Struthio camelus: one gene and its partner. The protein of the gene in region 2 binds, or shares a complex with, the protein of the main gene of each other region. Links are inferred from orthologs where the notes say so. Each region holds a gene or a part of one and is shown on either strand. Other genes may lie near its edges. The genes, in order: CD40LG and CD40.

Region 1 (9,960 bases), on a different chromosome or scaffold from region 2:
CTCCAGAATTAAATCGGAGGCGCTCAGACTGAGAAATCCTTCCGAGGCCGAGCGGCGGCCCTCGCGCGCGCCTGTGGCGAGCCTCGCTGCGCCGGCCTCGGCTCTGCCGGCACGAGCCGCCTGCTTTTCGCCAGCCTGACCTGACCACAGCTGTGATGAAGTGCAGCTTGCCCACATCAGCCGCGGTCCAGGCTAGGGCTGTCCGCAGGCCACCAGACCGTCCCGCAGCAGCCGCGCTGGCGTGATGCGGCCCCGCAAGCGAAAGCGGCTCGTTTCCAATCCAAGAGGAAAAGCAGAGCTCGGTTCCCTTAACTCCAACCAGAATAAGCGTGCCTCACCGTAAAAACTAAACCGTTGTGCGTTTCCAGGCAAATCTAAGGAAGGCCACCGAAAGCGGCCGGCACGGGGCGCGCAGACCTCGCGTGGGGCAGCCTGCGACCGCGGGGCAGGACTGCCGGGGGGCCGCCGGGTCTGGCAGGCGCATCGTACCTGAGACCGCCTTGCTGCTCTTGGCCCCCGCCAGGTGGGCTGCGATCGGCTGCCTCTTCTCCGCTGCAACGGGGAAAGGCCGGGGTTATTCGCGCCTTGCTGTCCCCCTTCGGCAGCACAGCTGTGCTGGCATCGCAGCCCTCCCCTAGGCTTGCCCGTTTCTCTATGGGCCAAATCCGGCTCCGAAGCCCCCCCATCCCCGAGCGAGGCAGGATCCGGCCCCGCTCAGCCCAGTCCGCCTGGGAGCGGGATTCCCGGGCGGAGGAGAGCGCGCAGCATCGGCCCCGCCGCGGGAGCAGCCCGCGCCGGCCCCGCGCCTCACCTGCCACCGACGTCTCGTTCTTGCCCTTCGAGTGGGAGTGCTCATGGCCTGCAACGGGAAAAGGCCGGGGATTGAATTTCGGGTTCGTTTCCATCGGCTTTGGGCAAAGCGGCGCTCGGAGCGGCCGGCCCCCGGCCCCCGTGCGAGCCTTGCCCGGCACCCGGCTCCGCCGGCCCCGCGCTCGGCCCGTCCGCGAGCGCCGCTGGCAAACTCACCTTTCTGCATTTCGAACTTGGGGCGCTCCTCGCTGACTCCGCCGTCCTGCAACAGCAGGGGGGAAAAAAAAAAAAAGAAATTTAAGATATACCGATCGAAAGGTTTCAAAGCCTCTGTGCAAAGGATGCTTTGGCCCCCGCAGCCCTGCTGCTGGTGGCAGAGGGTACCCGAGCCCACCGAGCCCCTCCGACAGCTCCCGCAGCATCACACGCAGCGCAGCCTGCTTGAAGGGCTTCTGCTCTTCGGCTTTATGCCATTCAAACGCTGAGACAGGGGAAGTTTTTTTGAAAACAAAGCGAAAACCCCTTTTCAGGCTGTTGAAACACCACGCCTGGGAGCCACGCTGGGGGGCCGTGTGTGCTCCCCGGCCAGCTGTGCCTGGCCCCGCCGCGCGCCCCGCCGGGTTTCGGGACGGCTCAGATGGGCCCGTCTCATAGTTTGCTGTTGTCGGCCGGGTGCCGCTGCCGACGTGACCCCCACTGGCTTTGCCGGGGTGCAGCGGCGGATGCCCTTGGCGTGCACGGGCCGCGCGGCAGAAGCGCCCCTGCCCTCTCGGCGCAGCCTTCGCCAACAGCGCCTGCAGCGCGGAGCGGGCTGGGAGCGCCCCGTCCTGCCCCGTCACCGAGGCCGGGCAAGGTGGGCGTATGGGCGCCCTCGCACCCCCCCGGCAGATGCTCCGAGCGGGGAGCCAGGCGGGATTGAGGGCAGAGCCGGGCTTTGCCGCCGGCCGCCCGCGCCGCCCGCTCTGCCCCGGGCTCCCGGGCTGCGGCTCCGACGCTCCGCCGGCCCCCGCACAGACACTGCCTATGTACGCTCTTGCCGAGAGCGTTTTGGGAAAACAGTTTAAAAAAGGACACCCGTGGTTTTGAATAAAGCTGTGCGTGTGTTTCTGGGAGCCCCCCTCCACCGCCAGCAGGGTCTCTATCCGGCTAACAGCAGTCTACCTTGCACTGGAGATCCTGGAAGCCTCTTAAAATCTTATCACAGTCCAATAAAGTCGATTTCCGACCTTCTGCCGTCTGACATTTCTGTACTTTCCGCAGGAAGACGTAATCTTCATTTAAGCTCAAGGCTTCTTCCATCTGCCGGCGAGGGAAAGGAGAGAGGGTAAACGGGGTGTTACTGGGAAGGGTGCAGCAGCCGGGGGCCGGAGCCGGGCTACAGCCCCTCCAGCAATAAAAAGCAGCCGGCAAAGCTCGGTGTCAGCCCTTCAGCGCCAGGGTCAGACGCACCAGGGTGGCGCGCGCAGCCCCGAGCCCCCAGCGCGGAGCAGGCACCACTGGGGCCGGCGGCACCGCGGGAACCACGCCGCCGGGGCTCATCCCGGCGAGGGGCAGCGGGCAGCAGGATCGCTCGGGATCCTGGCCAGACCCCTTTTCTATCACCTCTTCAGTCAAATTCTCCACTCCACCCTCTCCAAAAGGCAGGTGGCAAAAGTTTGCCTGATGGGCTTTACGGACCCAGGCACGGGGACGGCAGCAAGGGGCTGGGGGCTGGCTCGGGCCCCCGCTCCCGCCGGCCGCAACCGGGGCACCCCGGGGCCAGGGCCGCCCTGGCCAGAACTGCGCTGCTTTCTGGCAGCGAGTTTATTGACAGCGAAAAGTTTCTAAGAGACTGAACTGACCGGTGAACTGGGGCTGAATTCTGCCCAGAGTTTCAGAGTAAAAAAAAAAAAAAAGAGAGAGATTAGGAAAAAAATTAGAACGCCAAGAAAAGAATTGAAATTTTTTAAAAAAAGGAACTGATTTGTGAAATGACATCTGGGTTAAAAAAAAAAAAAACCCTAACATTTATCTGAGCAACAGAAAGAACCGCAGGCAGATGTGCGGACGGAGAGTCCCGGGCTGGCCAAGAGCTCGACCCGGGCAGTGCTGGGCACCCGGGGCCGGGTTTGGCATCCGGCCGCGTGCACCGAAACCCTCCTGCTGCCGGGGACCCCGCTTCATCTCCCGCTCCTCCGAAAGGGCGCTGCGCTGCAGCTGGTAAGGAGAACTCATTCTGGGTTTTATACCCGTTTAGTTTCTTTAAGTGGTAGGTTTCTCTTTTTTTGGAGGAAAATACTTTTAGGAAAATGCTTATGAGCGTTGTATGGTGCAGCGGGAGTCATGGCAACCTTTAAAGCTACTTTTCAGTATTGAATTTTTTGGTAAGTATTGTCCCAGGTGCAGGACAGGATCGCTGATAAAGTGTCTCTTTAGAAAAGACTAAGTATTAAGATCTGCTCTTTTCTTCCCGGAGCATAAAGACAACATCTGAAGTGAAGTCTGCAATATTATCACATGAAAACGTTTTAAAAAGTCATTTCTGGACCCCTTTCTCCTTGGTGTCACAGAGCCGCCAAGTTCTGTGGGACCAGACAAACCACCAAGTAGCTCCCCAAAAGCCTAAAATAACCACTCATGTGTTTAAGCCACGCTCTCCTCGCCTCAGCTCTGGCCGGACCAACTGCTCGGTTTGCTGTTAATGGCTTTTCGTTATTGATCCAGTCTCGTTTTGTTAAGGGAGGGAACAAATCTCTCGTCATCAGCACACATCTTACTTAGCAGCAAATTAAAGCAGAAACAAGAACGCGGGTGCAATAAATGCCTCTCCTGTGTCAGTCCAGTGGCCGGCATTGCCTGGTACCATTTTCACCTTTGTGTTTCTCAGGTCTCTCCGCGCTGAAGGCAAATCATGTTAGCAATCCAGCAGACCCGACTTTATTTCGACACTTACCTTATCCATCTTCATGTGAAGATATAAACAGAACAGTACAGTCCCAATCATCTGTGCTACAATAAATACTGTGAGGAAGCACATGAACATTTTCATGGTGCTGGGCGAGGTGCTGCTCATGGGTCTGGGTGCTGCAGGGCTGTAGGGTTCATTCATCCTCCGGGCAGGCTGCTGGGTCTCCCTCGTCAAACGCACTGCTTGCACGTAGCATGAGAACTGTTGTGTGAGCAGCCGCTACTCAAGGGATACAGGTTGCAGCAACCTACACTTCCTGGAAAAAACCCTTCGTAGTGGGTAGGTTTGTTCACGACTGTCTCCCACAACAAAAAAAAGGTTGCTTAGACTTTCTTCTCTTGTGCACTTCCATGCTTTTTCCTACCGTCCTACCAGAAGCAGTTAGAAATTCTTATTCCATGTATTCATATTTGCCTTCGAAACACTCCAGACTGTGCCCCAATGATTTTTTCCTATCGTGGATGAATGTTTCGCAGCTGACTGTCTTTAAAGAAACGAAGACCGCAAATCCACGGGCAGAGCTGCTGAGGTGCAGCGTGGGCTGCCAGGGCTTAGGAAGCACGTGGAAAGCTGGTCGTTTCTCAAGAGGGGAAGAAAGTCCTTTTGCTCTCTGGTTCCTTCACTGAGGAGGATGAGTTTGCAGTTAAGCCGCTTGGCTAAGGCGGGTGGGCTGTGCTGGCTTCTGGACTTGCCTTGTGCTCTGCATGGGTGAAGGCACAGCAGGTTTCTGCCCAGTTAGATGGGGTGCTCCTGGAGCAAGGCCATCTCTACGGGCCCCGGGAGCCCAGCGTGCGCCCAGCCTCCATGCTCCTTGACGGACAGCAGGTCTTTGGGTCTCGAGGCTGCCTCTTGGCCCTCTGTTTGGAGAGACAAGTTTTCAGCAGCTTTCGCAGTACCTCAGTGAGGTGCTCACCCTGCATCCAAGAGCACAAGTATGCTCAGACAGTGTCCTCACTTATACATGTATAACTATGTCTATTTTCATGGGCATGGAAAGGACTCTTGGGGCAGCTGGGCACTCCTGCCAGCTGCTGACCTCCCTGGGTAGCCTCAAAGCAACCTTGGACAACCTCAACCCTGTGTCCCATGGTGACACTCAGCCTCTGCTTCTCCAGCCAGCACCAGGGGGGTAACATCCTGCCGCCGCTTGCCTTGTCTGCCCAGATTCAGAGCTCCTCAGGGCACCTGGCACTTGTCCGGCCTTGCAGCACTCGTGCGATAATTTCAGATACCTGCAGAGGGGTCCTCACTGCTTGCGACAAGGGGCAGATCTCCCATCCTCCAGGCTAGTGGAAAGAACAAATCTAGGCATCTGCTGGGGCGCAGAGGACAAGAGCTGCACGGCTGCGGCACGAGGCCGGCTGCCTGCAGGGAGGGCTGGGGCTCTGTGTTAAAGGCAGTGATCAAATTGTCGTGTAAAGTTGTTTTGAAAGTAGTATGCTAAAGGCAATGCTCTTATCAGATGTGCATACAGCAAATAAAGGGTAGGATCCTTCTAGAAGCAGCAGGGTGCTGAGCAGGGCACTGCTTTCTGGCAGCCCAGGGAGAGGAGGGGACTCAGCGCCTTGTTGGGTTGCTCAGTGCCTTGCAGGATTGAGTCCAGCATTTGCTGTTGCTGCCTACCCACTCGCTCGCATCCTGTCCTGTGTGGTTAGGGCGCTGTTAGCTGCAGATGCAAACGCTAGTAACAAAGCACAAACAGCTCTGCAACCAAGCCAGCATTTGACCTTGGCAGGTCACCATGTTCCTAAATATAGCACCCAAGTCACAAGCGTACGACAGCACCAGGGGCTTTGCTGGCAGCAACTCAGTGGCTGAGCAGCAGTCGACCAGCGGCCGAGACCTTGCTCAGAGCCCCAGGGCCGTCACCCCTCCAGCACCGGGGGCAGTTTTGGTGCAGGGCTGACAGCACTGGGGCCAGGGGGAGGACAGAGCTGTGCTCCACAGCATTGCCTTGGCTTTCTAGAGGACGCCGGGGGTCCTGCCAGCGGCAGCCCACAGCTCATGCATCTCCCCGTCCCAGGCTTGCCTGGCTCTGCCAGCTCTCCAGGGCAGGACCAGCTTCACAGCCGCGCAGGAACATCATCCCAGAGGGTGCTGAGGACACCCCGTGCTGGGTGGCGAAAGTGGCTCCCCTTGGTATCAGTGGGGCTTTGGACCTGGTCCTTGGCCCAGCCATGCAAGGGATGGAGCCAGCGAGCCACCTGAGGGCAGTGCCAAGCCAGTGACTTCATTCCCTTTTACCCTGCAGCTGGCATCATCTTTGGGAACGCCAGTCCCGGCCACCGCACAGAGCTCTGAGCTGAAACCTGGCACCAAGGCATGACCTCTGCCATGGGGAGTCTGCCACCTTCACAGCAAAAAAAGTCAGTTCATGGTGGCCACCTTTGAAGCCAGTGCACGTGGCAAGGGCCACAGACCCGCTGATATGCAGGGTCTGGGGCACCACTCTGTGGATCACCCTCTTCGCCTGGTCTCCAAAGTCCTAGCGCGATGGCTTAACGTGATGGCAATCATCGACATTTTCCAAGGCTCTTCAGCATTTCTTCCGAATTTAGCAGTCATATTTGGGGAAACTCTTTAAATGAGAAACAAAATGACATGCAAAGTCATTACTTAATACCTTCCCCGAATCCTGAGCATTAAGGTAATCTTGAAATGTGTGAAACCACAGCAATGAGTCGTGCAGAGAACTGCAAGTGAGGTTTTGCAGATATTCCTAAGCCCTGGCTGTCACCTGCAGATGAAACTTGTTTCAAGCAGCTTCTGGATAGCTACCCATCTCCGTTTCACCGAAATGAGAGGAACCTGTAAGTAACACCGGAAACCCCTAGCGCATCGCTATCCGGATAGCACGCACCTTGCTAGGGAGGCCAGAGCTGGGGCTCCTGCTCAGAGGGGCCGGCGAATTCGATGAGGTGACTGGGGAAAGTCTCCGATTATGGGTACCCGATGCAAAACTTCGCAGGAGAGCTGGTGAGCTTGTTCTGGAAACGAGGAAACCGAGACTCGCTAGTCACTAGCGCCCTGACGAACAGAAACGGGTGGAAAATATGACACGGGGAATCCTGGCAGAGCTTCGTCAGCGCACCTCACCGGGAGGGCTGGCTGACAGCTCCTCTTCGGGAAACCATTGCTTCATATCGGCAATCCAGCCTGTCGTCACTCCGCACTTCAGCGCTCGTGGCTGTTGCAGACCTGGCAAGCTGATGTGGGAGCAACCCCTTGGGCTTCCGCTCCCACAGTTTCCTCTACGCCGGGCACAGCAGGAGCAGAGCTGACGGCGTCACACCGCCAAAGAGGTGCTGGCTGCAGAGGAAGGCAGGCTCCTTTGGTCCATCCCGTCACCTTGACCGTCCAACTCCGGAGGACCTGGGAGGACAGAGCAGGGTTTGCTGCATTGTTGGCCCTTGGGGGTACCACGTGGCCCAGGAGACATGCTCTGATGCCCATCTCACTGTTTCACATAGGGCATGGTGGGGATGGGGAGAGACACCCTGTGTCCTCAAGGTCTTGAATAAGGCCAAAATCCGTGTTAGCCTATGCCAGGTCCAGGCAACACTGTGGATGCTCCTCCTTGACCACTTGGCTGCTGTAGACACCAGAGGGAGCATAGCGGAGGGGGCACATCCTTGGGGAAAGAGAGGCATAGTCCATAGACACCCTGGGGAATGGAGAGTAGACCCAACACAGGGGCAAAGAGCCTGCCCACCTGTCATTTCCCAGGGAAGGTGAAGTCTGCTCAGCGTGAGCCCACCACCAAGAAACCAGAAGGGTTTTTCCTTCACCCTTCAGGCTCTCTGAACATAGCTGTACCAGCTGCCTGTGAACCCAAAGTGGCACGGTTCCTACAGCCAGATAACCTCCGACCGAGACGATGGGAAAATGTGATCCATCGCTTGCATTCCTATTGACCTAGTTGCAGTATTTCCGCTGATCAGCAAATTGTCTCCACTGTACTCGGCGCTCAAAGCTTTGTTTACCAAGAAAATATCCGGTTGCCTGCCCCAGTGATCTGTCAAACGCCGGTAGCATTTCTGAATGCAATAAGGTGAAAGCTGATGAAAAGAGAGTGATTTTTCTGGGTGCTCTCTGTGGTTTTGTAACTAGCTATTTAAAATGTGCTGCTTATCCCACATATTCTTTACAATTAACAAAAGTTAGGTATTGAGAACAACACATTCAGAAAGAAGATTTTATTCTGAGTCACAAAAAGCGTTTGCCTATGATGCCGTGGGAGGGATTCAGAAGGGAACCTATGAGATCTACATTAGTCCCTTCAGCACGGGGCTACAGTCAGAAGGGAAAATTGAGCTTTTCCATGTTTTGTTTTGTGATTTCCTTAGGTTTTCCCTCTCCTGCACCCCTGGAGATCTAACGTCTCCAGGATTAACCCTGTCGACAGACAGAAGGCGAGAACAGGTATAGCCATAGCACCACAGCAAACATCACCAGCATCTGGAGAAAGGCTATATTGCAGTTTCCATTCATTTTTTAGCTTGATGTTAATTAGAGAAAGCTTTCAGAGTCTAGAGTAGCAAGAAACTGCCTCGGGAATAGGAGAAAGTGTTATTGCTTGGGATGGTCACATCTCTTTGTGGAAGAAAAGCCCAGGAGAGAGTGGTGGTAGCTACTACCACAGCAGCTGCAGTCAAATCACTCTCTACGAATGGTCCCTCACCCATAGAAACACCTGCGCGGAGGTTATCAAAAGTCTTGGTCTCCAGCAGGTGTGAAGCGAGCCCTCCCAAGCCAGGGCTCGGGCTCGGACTCGTTGGCCTCCAGCCCTGCCACTGGGGAGAGCCAGCAGGCAGCAGAGCCAGGCTGCAGCCCCGGGGGTCTCAGCCCACCATGTCCCGTGGCTCCGCGCCGTCCCCCAGCTCTGATGTGGCCCCTGCTACTTGGGCTAGACCTTTTGGGGGCGCAGGCAGGTCGGGCCAGGGAGCAGAGAGGGACATCTCCCCCTTCCCTGCCACCCCACAGAGCAGCAAAGGGTGATAGAAAAAAGCTGCTGGAGATGGCACCGGGATGCTGCTGTCCCTCTGAGGCGCTCCACTGTTGTCCTTCTCCCAGGACTGTCACCCACCCGGCCTCCTTCCCTCCGTCCGTCCTCCCGCCCCTGCCCTGCCACACCACCCACGGATGCCCCCGAGCCAGCCTTTCCCTAGGGGGCCCAGCCGGATGAAGAGCAGAGAAACAAGCCCCTAGTGATGCCTTGGAGGACGGAGGGCCCCCGGGGGGGGGCCCGGCTCTGGTGCCACATCTGGGCTGCACATCTGGGCTGCAGTGCCAGCCCTGCCACGCCACGGGCGAGCTCGTCGCCGCGACCTGCTGGTGCTGAACCTTATTGAACCCGCGAAACCACAAATCGCGCTAGAAACTTCTTGCTGCGGACGCCTGCGCCTACTGCTCCCGACTTCCTAAAAATAGCGCCGGGCGCGGGGAGCCCGGTGGCACGGCCCCGGCGCTGCCAAACAAGCCCCTGCTGCCTGAGTCAGAGCGGAAGAAAGCAGGAGGCAGGAGCACCCCGCGCGCCCGGCCGGGAGCCACGCGCGGAGGCCCGCCGCCATCAAAGCCGAAGCGAAAGGCACCGGCGAGGCTCTGCCCTTTCATGTCGCCAGAGGAGCGGGGAAGAGCAAAACCTGCGGGAGGCCGCGGGGCCGGCGGCCGCCTCCTACGGCGCGGCGGGCCGCGGTGGGTGGGGAGGGTCCCGGCAGCGCCGGTACCTCGCCTCTTCCTCCCCCATCCCGCCCCGGCGATACCGGACCGAAACGCAGACGTGACTGTGTCTTCTGCATCCGCGTGGGACTCGCCAACAAAACAAAAGCCTCCGGAGTGGGGACATGCTCGCTTCCCGGCCGGGCTGCCCGGCGGGTGCTCTCGGGGGCCGGCGCTGCGGGGACCAGAGCCGTCTCCCCACGGCCGGGCTGCCCGCCCCTCGCCTCCCGCCCCCGGCCCCCTGGGTGTGAAATGCCAGCAGGTGACGGTTTTCCCCTCCGCCGTAAGGAGGGTTTGGCAGCCCTTGGATGCGATTCAGGGGATGATGCTCGGCGCAGCGCCGGGCAGGATGGGATCCCAAGGATTCGGGGTAGACGCTCTTGCAGGAGGCGGGTGAGACACCACGCATAAAGGCTGCATTTCGGCAGGCGCCCCGCGCCTCCCACCCAGCTGCCTCCGCTGCCTGCTTTGCAGCCCCTTCGCGG
Region 2 (9,810 bases):
GACCCAAAATATTTCAGTATAGGCTTTGAATGAGATAAAAAAGCAGGTTTTAAAGGCTCTTAAGTGACCATACTTGGATCACTTCACCAAACCTGACGTCTTAGCTTTACAGTAACAGAAAACACAATTTCTCATTCACACCAATACTAAACAACATATCTTTGTGCCCATCAAGATGTCAACTCCTACTGAAGTCGGGTCCACAGCTGGGAATTTAGCCACAACCACATAAATGCAGTATTGTTAACTCATTCCACTAGTACTATGAAGTTTAATTTTGTTAACCTATATTATTGCAGACAAAGCTGGAGCAATCAGCAACACTCACTGCACACACCTACCGAAATAGTCTCAGCTAAGATACTCAGGATTCATACTTTCTGCTTTAAAAGCCACTATAGCATAAAACTTAGAAAGAGGAAAAAAACACTGAAACTTGCAAGCCAAACTTGCAAGACTGAAAGCTATTTAATAAAATAAGGTTGTCATCCTTTCCAAACATTCATCTACAGGAGTGCAGGGTTGAGACTGTCTGTTTATAGGGATGGAAGTAACCTGAAAAAAAGCTCATGAGGTTAAATCGAGCACATCAACAAAACTTTCTACTGTTAATCATGAGGTACTCTATAACCAGCACACTCCCTAACAATAAACTAAGTTGACTACTATTTAAAAGTAGCTTCTAAACAAGCATGTCAAACTTCTTAAATTATAAGACAATTTTACAGTGCTAATTAGCATGAGAAATAAATCTACTCCAGGATTTGAGACTAAGATCCATCAACTCTACATTCATATCACTTTTCTCCTTCTTTTAGGAAGCCCTGTGGAAAAGCAGGGGAGAGAACACCTCCCAGTCTAATTGTCTTCTTAAAAGTGAACGGAGTTGCTAAAACAGGGCGGTGGTTAAAACAAACAAACAGTTCTTATACCATAGTTGTGTCAACATCTTCCTGCAAGGCCAGTTTGTTCTCCCCTGTCATCTTTACTTTCCCCATCAGAAGTTTCAAATCTTGACCCCTTTTTCTTTACAGGGGCACTACAGCGTTTTCTTCTATTCTGCTGTTGCAGCTTAAGTTCTCATCAGTTGAGGGGAGAACAGCCTTCATATAATAAGTTAGAAGAGACCTCTGGAGGTCATCTAGTCCAACTCACACTCTAAGCCAGACCAACTTCTAAGTTAGATCCAGCTGCTCAGGACCTTGCCCAGCTGAGCTCAGAACATTTTCAAGAACAGAGATTCCACAGCCACTGTGAGCACCTCATCATAAAACATCACCCGTGTTTGCAATCTTGAGATACCATATCTACCCTAAGCACCCATCAGCAAAATGTGCAATACCTGTGGGCAGGACATTTTAATTCAGTGTCAAAAACAGTAAAAGACTCTTATCTTTTTCTTCTGGGGTGGCAATGAGAAGGGGTCGCTGGCAGAAGAGAGGGTAAGAACTTTCTATATGAGGAAAAATTGGAATATTTTCCAACTTGCTGGTGGCTTAGAAAATAAAGCAACAAATCCCAAACACTAATCCACAGCGAATTAGTAGAGGGCTTTCACCTAGAAGTATCTACTGCTACTCACCATTTCCCACCCAGTGGAACAAGTGGTTAAGGGTCATTTAATAATCATGAGAGCAGAAGTGAATGCCATCCCAGCTTTAGGCATGCTACACCAGGGAAGTTAATAATGTCACTACTAAGTCTCTTTCTAAGACTTTAATCAAAGAAGCTGAACACATAGCTAGATAGTTTAAAGACAATGATACTCCAGTGCACAAAGGGACCATCAGACCCGGCAGGTTACCACAGAAGAACAGCTACCGTTAGCTCACCTGCCAGTAAATTCCCCACAAGTTAATTAACATCATGTCTCTCTCTCTAAAACTGTAAATTTAAAAACAAAGTTTTATTTCACTAGTAGCGCTACAACTTCAGAACGCGAGACACAGTTGAAGCGGGACACCGAAACCGATTTGGCGCAACGGAAACATCATGCGCAAGTCTGTGAGAAGTTCCTGGGCAATGCCAAAAAAAGAGAGAGAGGAAAAAACACACCCAAAGCAAAAGAACAAAAAGAACAAAAACACAACGCAGGCACCAAACGCAGCGGAGAGCGAGTTTCACCTCCGCCCCGGGCCGCGGCTCACGGTGCAGCCCGGCCAGGCAGGGCGGCTCTCCCGGTGCGCGACCGGGGCAGGGGCGGGAGCCGGGCCGGACCGGGCCGCGGCGCCTCCGGCACGGCCGCAGCGCAGCGCAGCGCAGCGCAGCCGCCGCCCCCGCGGCGCCCCGGCCTCGCCCGGCGCGGCGCGGCCCGGCCGCCCGCGCTGCCTTCAGGCCCGGGCCCGGGCCGAGGCGAGACCCGCCGCGCCCCGCGGCGGCGGCGCCGAGAAGGACGCAGACGCTCCGCGAGGTTTGCTGTGGTACGTCTTTATTCGAGCACGCCGCGCCCCTCATAAAGCCGCGCCCGCCGCGGGGCCCCGCACCGCCGCGCACTTACCGCCGCGCCGGGCCCGCGCCGCCGCCCGCCGCCGCCCGCCGCCGCCCGCCAGGACAAAGGCGCCAACCGCCGCTGCCGCACGGCGCTGTCGCAACGAACGGGCGGAAACGCCGCCGGAAGGGCGCCGCCCCGCGCTTTACGGCGCGGCGCGCTGGCGGGCGGCCGCCCCGGCTCCCGGCGTGCCCCGCGGCCGCCGCGAGGCGTGACGGGAGTCGTAGTCCCGCGGCCGGCGGGGCCGGCAGCCGCCAGGCGGCGCCGCGGGAGCCCCGGCGGCTTCGGGCGGGGCGCTGCGCCCGCCCCGCCCCGCCCGCCCCCGGCCCGCCCCCGCCCCCGGCCCGCCCGCCCCTGGCCGGCCCCGCCCCTGGCCGGCCCCGCCCCGCCCGCCCCTGGCCGTCCCCGCCCCGCCCGCCCGGCCCCGGTCCCGGCCCCGGCCCCGCCCCGCCCCGCCCGCCCGCCCCCGCCCGCCCCCGGCCCCGGCTCCGGCCCCGCCGCCCGGAGCCCGGAGCGTCCCCTGCCCTCGGCTGCCGGCCGGCGGGGCCGCCGGGCGGGGGGTCTCCCCGCCGGGCCCTGCTGGCCGCGCCGGTGGCGCCGGGCTGCCCGCGGGAGCGAGGGCCCGGGGCTGCGGGGACTTCCCGGGCCGCTCCCTGCCGGCCGGCCCAGAAATCCCCGGCCGCCGCCGCCCTGCGCCCTCCTCGCTCCCCTGGGACCGCTCGGGCTTTCGAGCCCGTCAGTTTTGGGAAACGACGGCGGCGCGGGGAATCCGGGGCGCGCGGGAGCGGCGGGAGGCCGTGGGGCTGCCCTCGCCGCCCCGGCCCCGGCCCCGGTGTGGGGCCGTCGCCCCCGGCAGCCAGGCTCGGGCGCGGCTGTGCCGCCCGGCGAGGAGCCGGCGCCGGGCAGCGCGAGCGGTCGGACCAGGGCCGGACTGGCACGGGGCGACCGCGGGCCGGGCAGCTGTGTTGCTGCGGGGCTGCTGTGTGGGGCGTGACGGTCACAGTGTGGCCCTGGGGCAGGACGTGGCGGTGGGATGGGACACGGCCATGGGGGGGGATGTGGTGGTGGGATGGGACATGACTGCAGCGTAGCCATGGGATGGGAGCTGGCGGTGGGACGGGATGTGGCCACAGTGTACCTGTGGGATGGGACGTGGCAGTGGGACTGGATGTGGCCATGGGATGGGACATGGTGGTGTGATGGGACATGGCAGTGGGACAGGACATGGCGGTGTAATGGGTCATGGCCATGGGATGGGACATGGCGGTGTGATGGGTCATGGCCATGGGATGGGACATGGCCAGAGCATAGCTGTGGGACAGGACGCGGCAGTGGGACGGGACGTGGTGGTGTGATGGGACATGGCTGCAGCGAGGCGGTGGGACGGGACGTGGTGGTGTGATGGGACGTGGCCGCAGCATGGAGGTAGCATGGGACATGGCTGTGGGATGGGACATGGCTGCAGCACAGCTGCAGGGAGGCTCCGTGTGACTGCGTGTGGGGCACGGAGGGATTCAGAGAAAGCCCGTTTCCTGCCTGGCCACTCACCATGAACTGGAAACAGGAACTCTGGGAAATTCTCCAAAGCAAGGAAATGAGTCTGGAAGTTCCCTGGGGATTGCTCTGGGGAATCCTCGGCAGGGCAGACCCTGCGGCAGCACCCGGCCCCACAGCACTGCTGCCCCTTCCATGTTCGGGGCTGACGTATTTCTGGGGACTCCGTGCGGATGCCGGCCCTGTGGGGAGGGATGGGGGCCACCGTCCTGAATTACCCTTGGGAAACTGAAGTGAAACCTTGAACTTCTGCCTCCAGAATAAGTTAGCAGGGCCAGCACAAACACTTTCCTCCGCGTGGCCCACCGGTGAGTCCTGCCCTCAGCCGCGCACCCGGGCGAGGTGCGGGCGGCCCGGCAGGCACATGGAGCGGGCAGGGAGCTGGGCGCACAGCCGGGCCCGGGTCCTCACGCAGAGCCACCACGGGAGGAACCGGCGGGTCCGACCCCGGCTGCTCCCTGCTGCCCCGGGCAGGGGCGATGCCGGGCCAAGCTGCCGGGCTGGTGCCCTGCAGGGTCGGCGGCAGGATGACTGAGGCGGGTGCGCGTCCCGCTGCGCCGGTGCTGCCGCGTGCCGGCCGCGTGGCTCTCCGGGCTGGGGTGCGGGGCCAGCCGGGCACGGCGAGCCCTGCGGGGTCTGTGCCAGCGGGATTCCCCTGCCCGGGGACTCCCTGGCTGCTCTTCCGCTGCTCTGCGCGGCCAGCGGAGCCTGGCGCCGGGGCTCCCCGCCGCAGCGCCGCTCACTGAGCATCACCGGGCAGACCAGGGCTGAGGGCACGGGCGCTCCTGGGGCCCGGCGAGCCGGCACCCGCGGGACACCGAGGTGGGCAGGAGCACGAGAGCGGCGCTGGGCAGGAGGGCTCCCGTCATCTCGGTGCAGCGGGCTCTGCCGCCCCTGCCCGTCAGACCCGGGGGGACAGACCCGTCGCCCCCTGCTCTCCGCCCCGAGCAGGGCTCTGCCCTACGTTCCCGGGGGCCGGGGCTCGCCGCCCCGCGGGGACCGGCCGAGGCCGCGCGAGTGGCTCCCGTTGGTGGGACCCGCCGGGCAGCCCCGGCCGGAGCGGGCTGCACCTCCCGCCCGCGGTGCCGGCCCCTCGACGTCCCACGCCGGGGAAGTCCCCGAGGCGAGCGGCTGCCGCCTGAGCACGCCCGCCACTGCGAGGGGGCGTTGGCAGCAGCCTGCGCCAAACAGCGTGTGCTCCGCGAGCCGAGGATGGGCGGCCCTACGTCCCCTTCCTGGGCGGAAACGGGCCGAGGCGTTATTACGGACTGCTCCGCCGCCCCCGCAGCGGCTGCGGGACGCTCAACGCCATGAAGCTGCTCGGACTCCTCTGGCTCCTCTGCGCGGTGCTCTGGGGCGTAAGTGCTGCTTCCCGCCCAGGCTGCGCACCGGCGCCGGCGGCCCCTTCCCACGGCGGCCGGCCGCGGCCCGCGGGGACCGGGCCGGGGCTGGGCAGGGCCGGGCGGCTGCGCGGGGAGCGATGCCGGGCTGCCCCTGCCCGCCCGCTGCGGGGGGAGCGATGCCGGGCTGCCCCTGCCCGCCCGCTGCGGGGGGAGCGATGCCGGGCTGCCCCTGCCCGCCCGCTGCGGGGGGAGCGATGCCGGGCTGCCCCTGCCCGCCCGCTGCGGGGGGAGCGATGCCGGGCTGCCCCTGCCCGCCCGCTGCGGGGGGAGCGATGCCGGGCTGCCCCTGCCCGCCCGCTGCGGGGGGAGCGATGCCGGGCTGCCCCTGCCCGCCCGCTGCGGGGGGAGCGATGCCGGGCTGCCCCTGCCCGCCCGCTGCGGGGCAGAGCGCGCAGCGCGGGCGGCAGCGCGGGGGCCGGGACCGCGGCACGGCGTGACACCCCGGCCAGGGCCGGCCCGGCCCCGCAGGGCTTTCCAGGAAGGCAGCGCCGGCCGCGGCGCCCTCGGGCCGCCCGTCCCTGCCCCGTGGGCCGTCCCGCGGGAACGCTCCCCGCGCCGGGCCGGGAGGCGCTGGGGGTCGGGCAGGACCGGCCGAGGCCAGCGCCGCTGCCGCCGCGCTGGGAAAGCCGTAAAGGAAATCCTGGCCGGGAGCCCTGCGCCCGGCTCTCGCTTCGAGACACAAAAGTTTATTGTTCCTCATTTTTGTGGCTGGGAATTTCCCAGCAAGCGCTCAGCTTCTCGGCACCCTCCCACACGCGCTCGCCGCGCCGTGCCCCCGGGACCCCCACTGCCCGTGCCCGGCCGGTCCCCGTCCCGGCGCCGCTCTCTGCCCGGGGAGCGGGCGCCCCGACGCCCCGCGGACCCGGCGCCGCTCTGCCGCCAGCCCGGTGCTGCCCGGTCGGGGCGCAGCCGCGCTGGGCCGGGGCGCCGAGCGGCCGAGCCCCCGGCACAGGGCGCACGCAGCCCGGCACGCAAAACGGCGCGGGCCTGAGAGCCCCTTTCGGTTCCCTTTCCTGCTACGCAAGAGAAACGCAGGGTGTCGGGCTCCCTCGGGGCCGGTTTCCCTCCGCCGGCCGGGCGCCCGACGCCAAACCTCGCGGCGCCCCCAGCCCCTTTGCCTCCCTCCGCCCCTCGGCGGAGCAGCCCCACGGGACCCCCACGCCGGCCGCGGCGCCCCTTGCTCCCGGCCCTCCCCCAGCCTCGGACCCCGCGGCCCCGCCGGCCCCTCCGTCCCCTCCGCCCGGGCTGGCGCCCACCCGGCTGGGAACGGCCACCGGGCTGGGGCTGCCCCGTGCCGGGCCGGCTCCCCCGCGGGCCGCTCCACTCCCTCCCGCGGCCAGGCTGGCCCCAGGGCTGAGCCCCGGGGTCAGGGGCTGCTCCTGCCTCCCCCGCTGCCTTCCCCTGCCCGCGGGGAGCGAGGCAGGGCTCTGGCCGGCTTCGTGCCCACCAGGCGCCGGCCCAGGGCTTCGCTGCCCCTCGGAGCCGAGCGCCGGGAAGGGGCAGGGGACGCGCGGTTGGCGCTGCTGCCCCTGCCCGGGAGCGCAGGCTGTTGGCAGCGGCGGGGCGCAGAGCGCTGTGCAGTCACCACCCGTTAGGAAGTGTGGGGAAACATTGCACCGGAATTGCTGCCATCCCACTTCAAACGGCGCACTGGCGGCAGGCGGCGGCGCAGCCGGCTCGGCTGCGGTCTGTGGTTAGAGCGGCCCCGGGAAGGGGCTGCAGGACCGCCTCGCCTCGGGACGCGGGCGCAGCGCTGGCCGCCTGCGGGAGCCAGGCTCCCGGCGGGCACCGGGGAGCAGCGCGGACTCCCAGGCCTCTTCTTTTCCAGTGCTGGCAGCCTGTCGACACCGTAAAATGCTCTGAAAAGCAGTATGAGCACAAGGACAAGTGCTGCAACCGGTGCCAGCCAGGTACGGAGACCCTTCCCCTTCGGGTGAGCCCCCGAGCCCGGGCCGTGGCCGGGACCCGGGCGCCTGGTCCCCGCTTGAGCCCCGGGCCGGCTCCAGGGTGGCCAGAGCCGCCTCACCCCATCGCCGGCCGCAGCCCACAGCTTCGCTTGCGTTTCGCCTTCGTGCCAGAGCGGCTGGGGACCTCACGGGACCCTGATAGACCCTGGACCTGCCCCATCTCGCTCGCGCTGCCTGTGCTCCCGCGGCCCGCAGCACCCGGCGGCCCGGGCAGCCTGCAGGCAGAGCGCTCCCGCCGGCGCCGCACCCGCTGCCAGCTCCCTTCCCGGGCCGTTCCCCAGGCCTTGGCCCACGGAGAGCGCGGACGGCCCTCCCGGCCCTCCCGCTGTAGCCCCCGGCGCCGCCAGCCGCCGAGCCCACGGCCGGAGCAGCGCCCGGCCGGCCAGCCGCAGCCGCCAGCGCCCCCCCCGCGTCCTGCCGGCAGAGCTGTGGCGCTGCCCCCCCCACAACCAGCCTCGCTTGCAGGGAAAAAGCTGGTCTCCGAGTGCAACGGCACGGCGGAGTCCCTCTGCGACGCCTGCGAGAGCGGACACTACCAGCAGGGCTGGACCAAGGAGAGGCACTGCAACCCGCACGACATCTGCGAGGACAGTGAGTGTCCCTGCGCCCGCGGCTGCGCCGGGGCGGTCGCCCGCGTCCCGCTGGTGCCTCACCCCCGTCTTGCTCCTCCCGCCCAGACGCCGGCCTCGTGGTGAAGACGGAAGGGAACGCCACGCACAACACGGTGTGCCAGTGCCGGGCCGGCATGCACTGCTCCGACGCCAGCTGCCAGACCTGCGTGGAGAACCCGCCCTGCCAGCGGGGCGCTGGCTTTGTGGCAGGTGAGACGGGCCCGCTCCTCCCCTCTCCGCTGGACCGGGAGAGGGGTGTGCCGCCAGCCGGGTCCTGCTGGCAGAGCTTCGGGAGAGCTCCGGCCTCGCCGCCCTCGCCCCAGCCCGCGGCCCCGTTCTGACCTGCCGCAACCCCTGCTCCTTTGCAGCCAAGGCCGCGGCCCGGACCTCGTCCCCCTGCGAGCCCTGTGCCGAAGGCACCTTCTCCAATGTCTCGTCTAAAACGGAGCCGTGCTACCCCTGGACAAGGTACAGCCCCGCACCCCGTCCCTGCCTGTGCCCATCTCCGCGAGCACGTCCCTTGCTGCCAGTGACTTTTGGGGCCGCGAGGGCCCCATGGCTGGGATGCTTTTTGGGGGGGCAGCATCAGGCTGGCATGGGGCCGGAGAGAGGGGAGCAGCAGCCGTGGGCACGGCGAGGTCGGGGTGGCGCAGCCGAGCTGGAGGCAGACACGGGGGCGCTTGCACCGTCCCTCAGTGCCAGTGCATCATGCTGGGGGCCCAGCATGGGCCGCAGCGTGAGGGGCTGCGGAGACCCCCATCCGGCACGGCTCTCCCTCCTGGCACACTCCCTGGCTGCAAAAATTGGGCTGAGGCACCAGCCGTCTCTGCAGGGAGCGGGAGCCTGGCGTCGAGGATGCCGCGGGCTGGCAGAGCTCCCCTGTCTTTAGGAAGCTGCTCAAGGGTTAATTGCACTCCCTGACAGAAGCCTGTGCCTTGTTTCCAGGCTGAATTAGTCTCGCTTCAGCTGCCAGCCATTGGATTTCACTTTGCTTTTATCTGTGCCCAGAAATTACCTCCCTGTGGAGCCACTTGTAGCCTGTCATCAAGTTGTCTCCAAACCGTTCTGGAATAGCTAAAGTGCCCAAGGCCCAGGGCATCACGGCCAGGGCAGGGTTCAACCCCGTTCCCTCCTCTGCCTCCTCCCTGAACACGTCCCCATCTGCAGCAGCTCCTGCATCCCGGTCCGGGACCCTGGAGCGGGACGTGCTGTGCCCGGCCGGGAGCCCCAGCCACGAGCCCCCTCCGGAGCCCCGCGACTTCGTCCCAGGGCGCTTTCCCACGTGCCCCAGTGCTCCGCCAGCCCCGGCCTTTTCCCCGGGAGCTCCCCGCACGCTCAGGCTCCTGCCGTGCTCACAGGGTCTCGTTCTTGTCCGCAGCTGCGAGGAGAAAGGGCTCGTGGTGAAGGTGAAGGGGACGAACACGTCGGACGTGCTCTGTGGTGAGTGCGCGGTGCCCAGGCTGGACGGCACTGGCAGGGGATCGCCCGGGACGCCGGCTCCGGCGGCGAACGCTCCCCACGGCACCCCGCTGCACGGCCAGCCCCAGCGCTCGGGAACCTGGCCAGCCTGTGGGTGCTTCTGGGAGACGAGCGTCTGACGTTACTGCCGGCGTCACGTCGTGCTGCTCCTCCCCGTCCCCGTGCGGGATCCGCCCGGCACTCGGCCCGGAGCCGGAGCGCTCAGGGCGCTCGGGGGCCGGGAGCACGTGCCAGGGCGCTCGCAGCCACGCTCACCTCTCGCCCTCCGCAGAGTCGGGCAGGCGCTCCTCGCTGTCGGTGCTGATCCC

The links.
Region 1: the proteins of CD40 (region 2) and CD40LG are in contact, whole or in part, in a crystal structure (PDB 3QD6), measured with the Homo sapiens proteins. The link is inferred for Struthio camelus from reciprocal best matches to the Homo sapiens genes CD40 and CD40LG. Residues at the interface, in NP_001241.1 of Homo sapiens: Glu64, Ser65, Glu66, His76, Cys77, Gln79, Tyr82, Asp84, Asn86, Leu87, Trp109, Cys119; in NP_000065.1 of Homo sapiens: Ile127, Glu129, Ala130, Lys143, Gly144, Tyr145, Tyr146, Cys178, Pro217, Cys218, Gln220, Ser245, Gln246, Ser248, His249, Gly250, Thr251, Gly252.

Annotation. Positions count from the first base shown.
Region 1 is NC_090952.1:23,042,782-23,052,741, forward strand, and holds the start of CD40LG (CD40 ligand), read right to left. Parts: upstream 3,986-9,960; 5' UTR 3,899-3,985; coding exon 3,743-3,898; intron 2,110-3,742; coding exon 1,972-2,109; intron 1,073-1,971; coding exon 1,027-1,072; intron 860-1,026; coding exon 812-859; intron 553-811; coding exon 490-552; intron 1-489. UniProt on the Homo sapiens protein: Cytokine that acts as a ligand to CD40/TNFRSF5. Costimulates T-cell proliferation and cytokine production.
Region 2 is NC_090959.1:19,465,083-19,474,892, forward strand, and holds the start of CD40 (tumor necrosis factor receptor superfamily member 5), read left to right. Parts: upstream 1-5,201; 5' UTR 5,202-5,352; coding exon 5,353-5,400; intron 5,401-7,273; coding exon 7,274-7,355; intron 7,356-7,877; coding exon 7,878-8,003; intron 8,004-8,089; coding exon 8,090-8,233; intron 8,234-8,391; coding exon 8,392-8,491; intron 8,492-9,401; coding exon 9,402-9,463; intron 9,464-9,773; coding exon 9,774-9,810.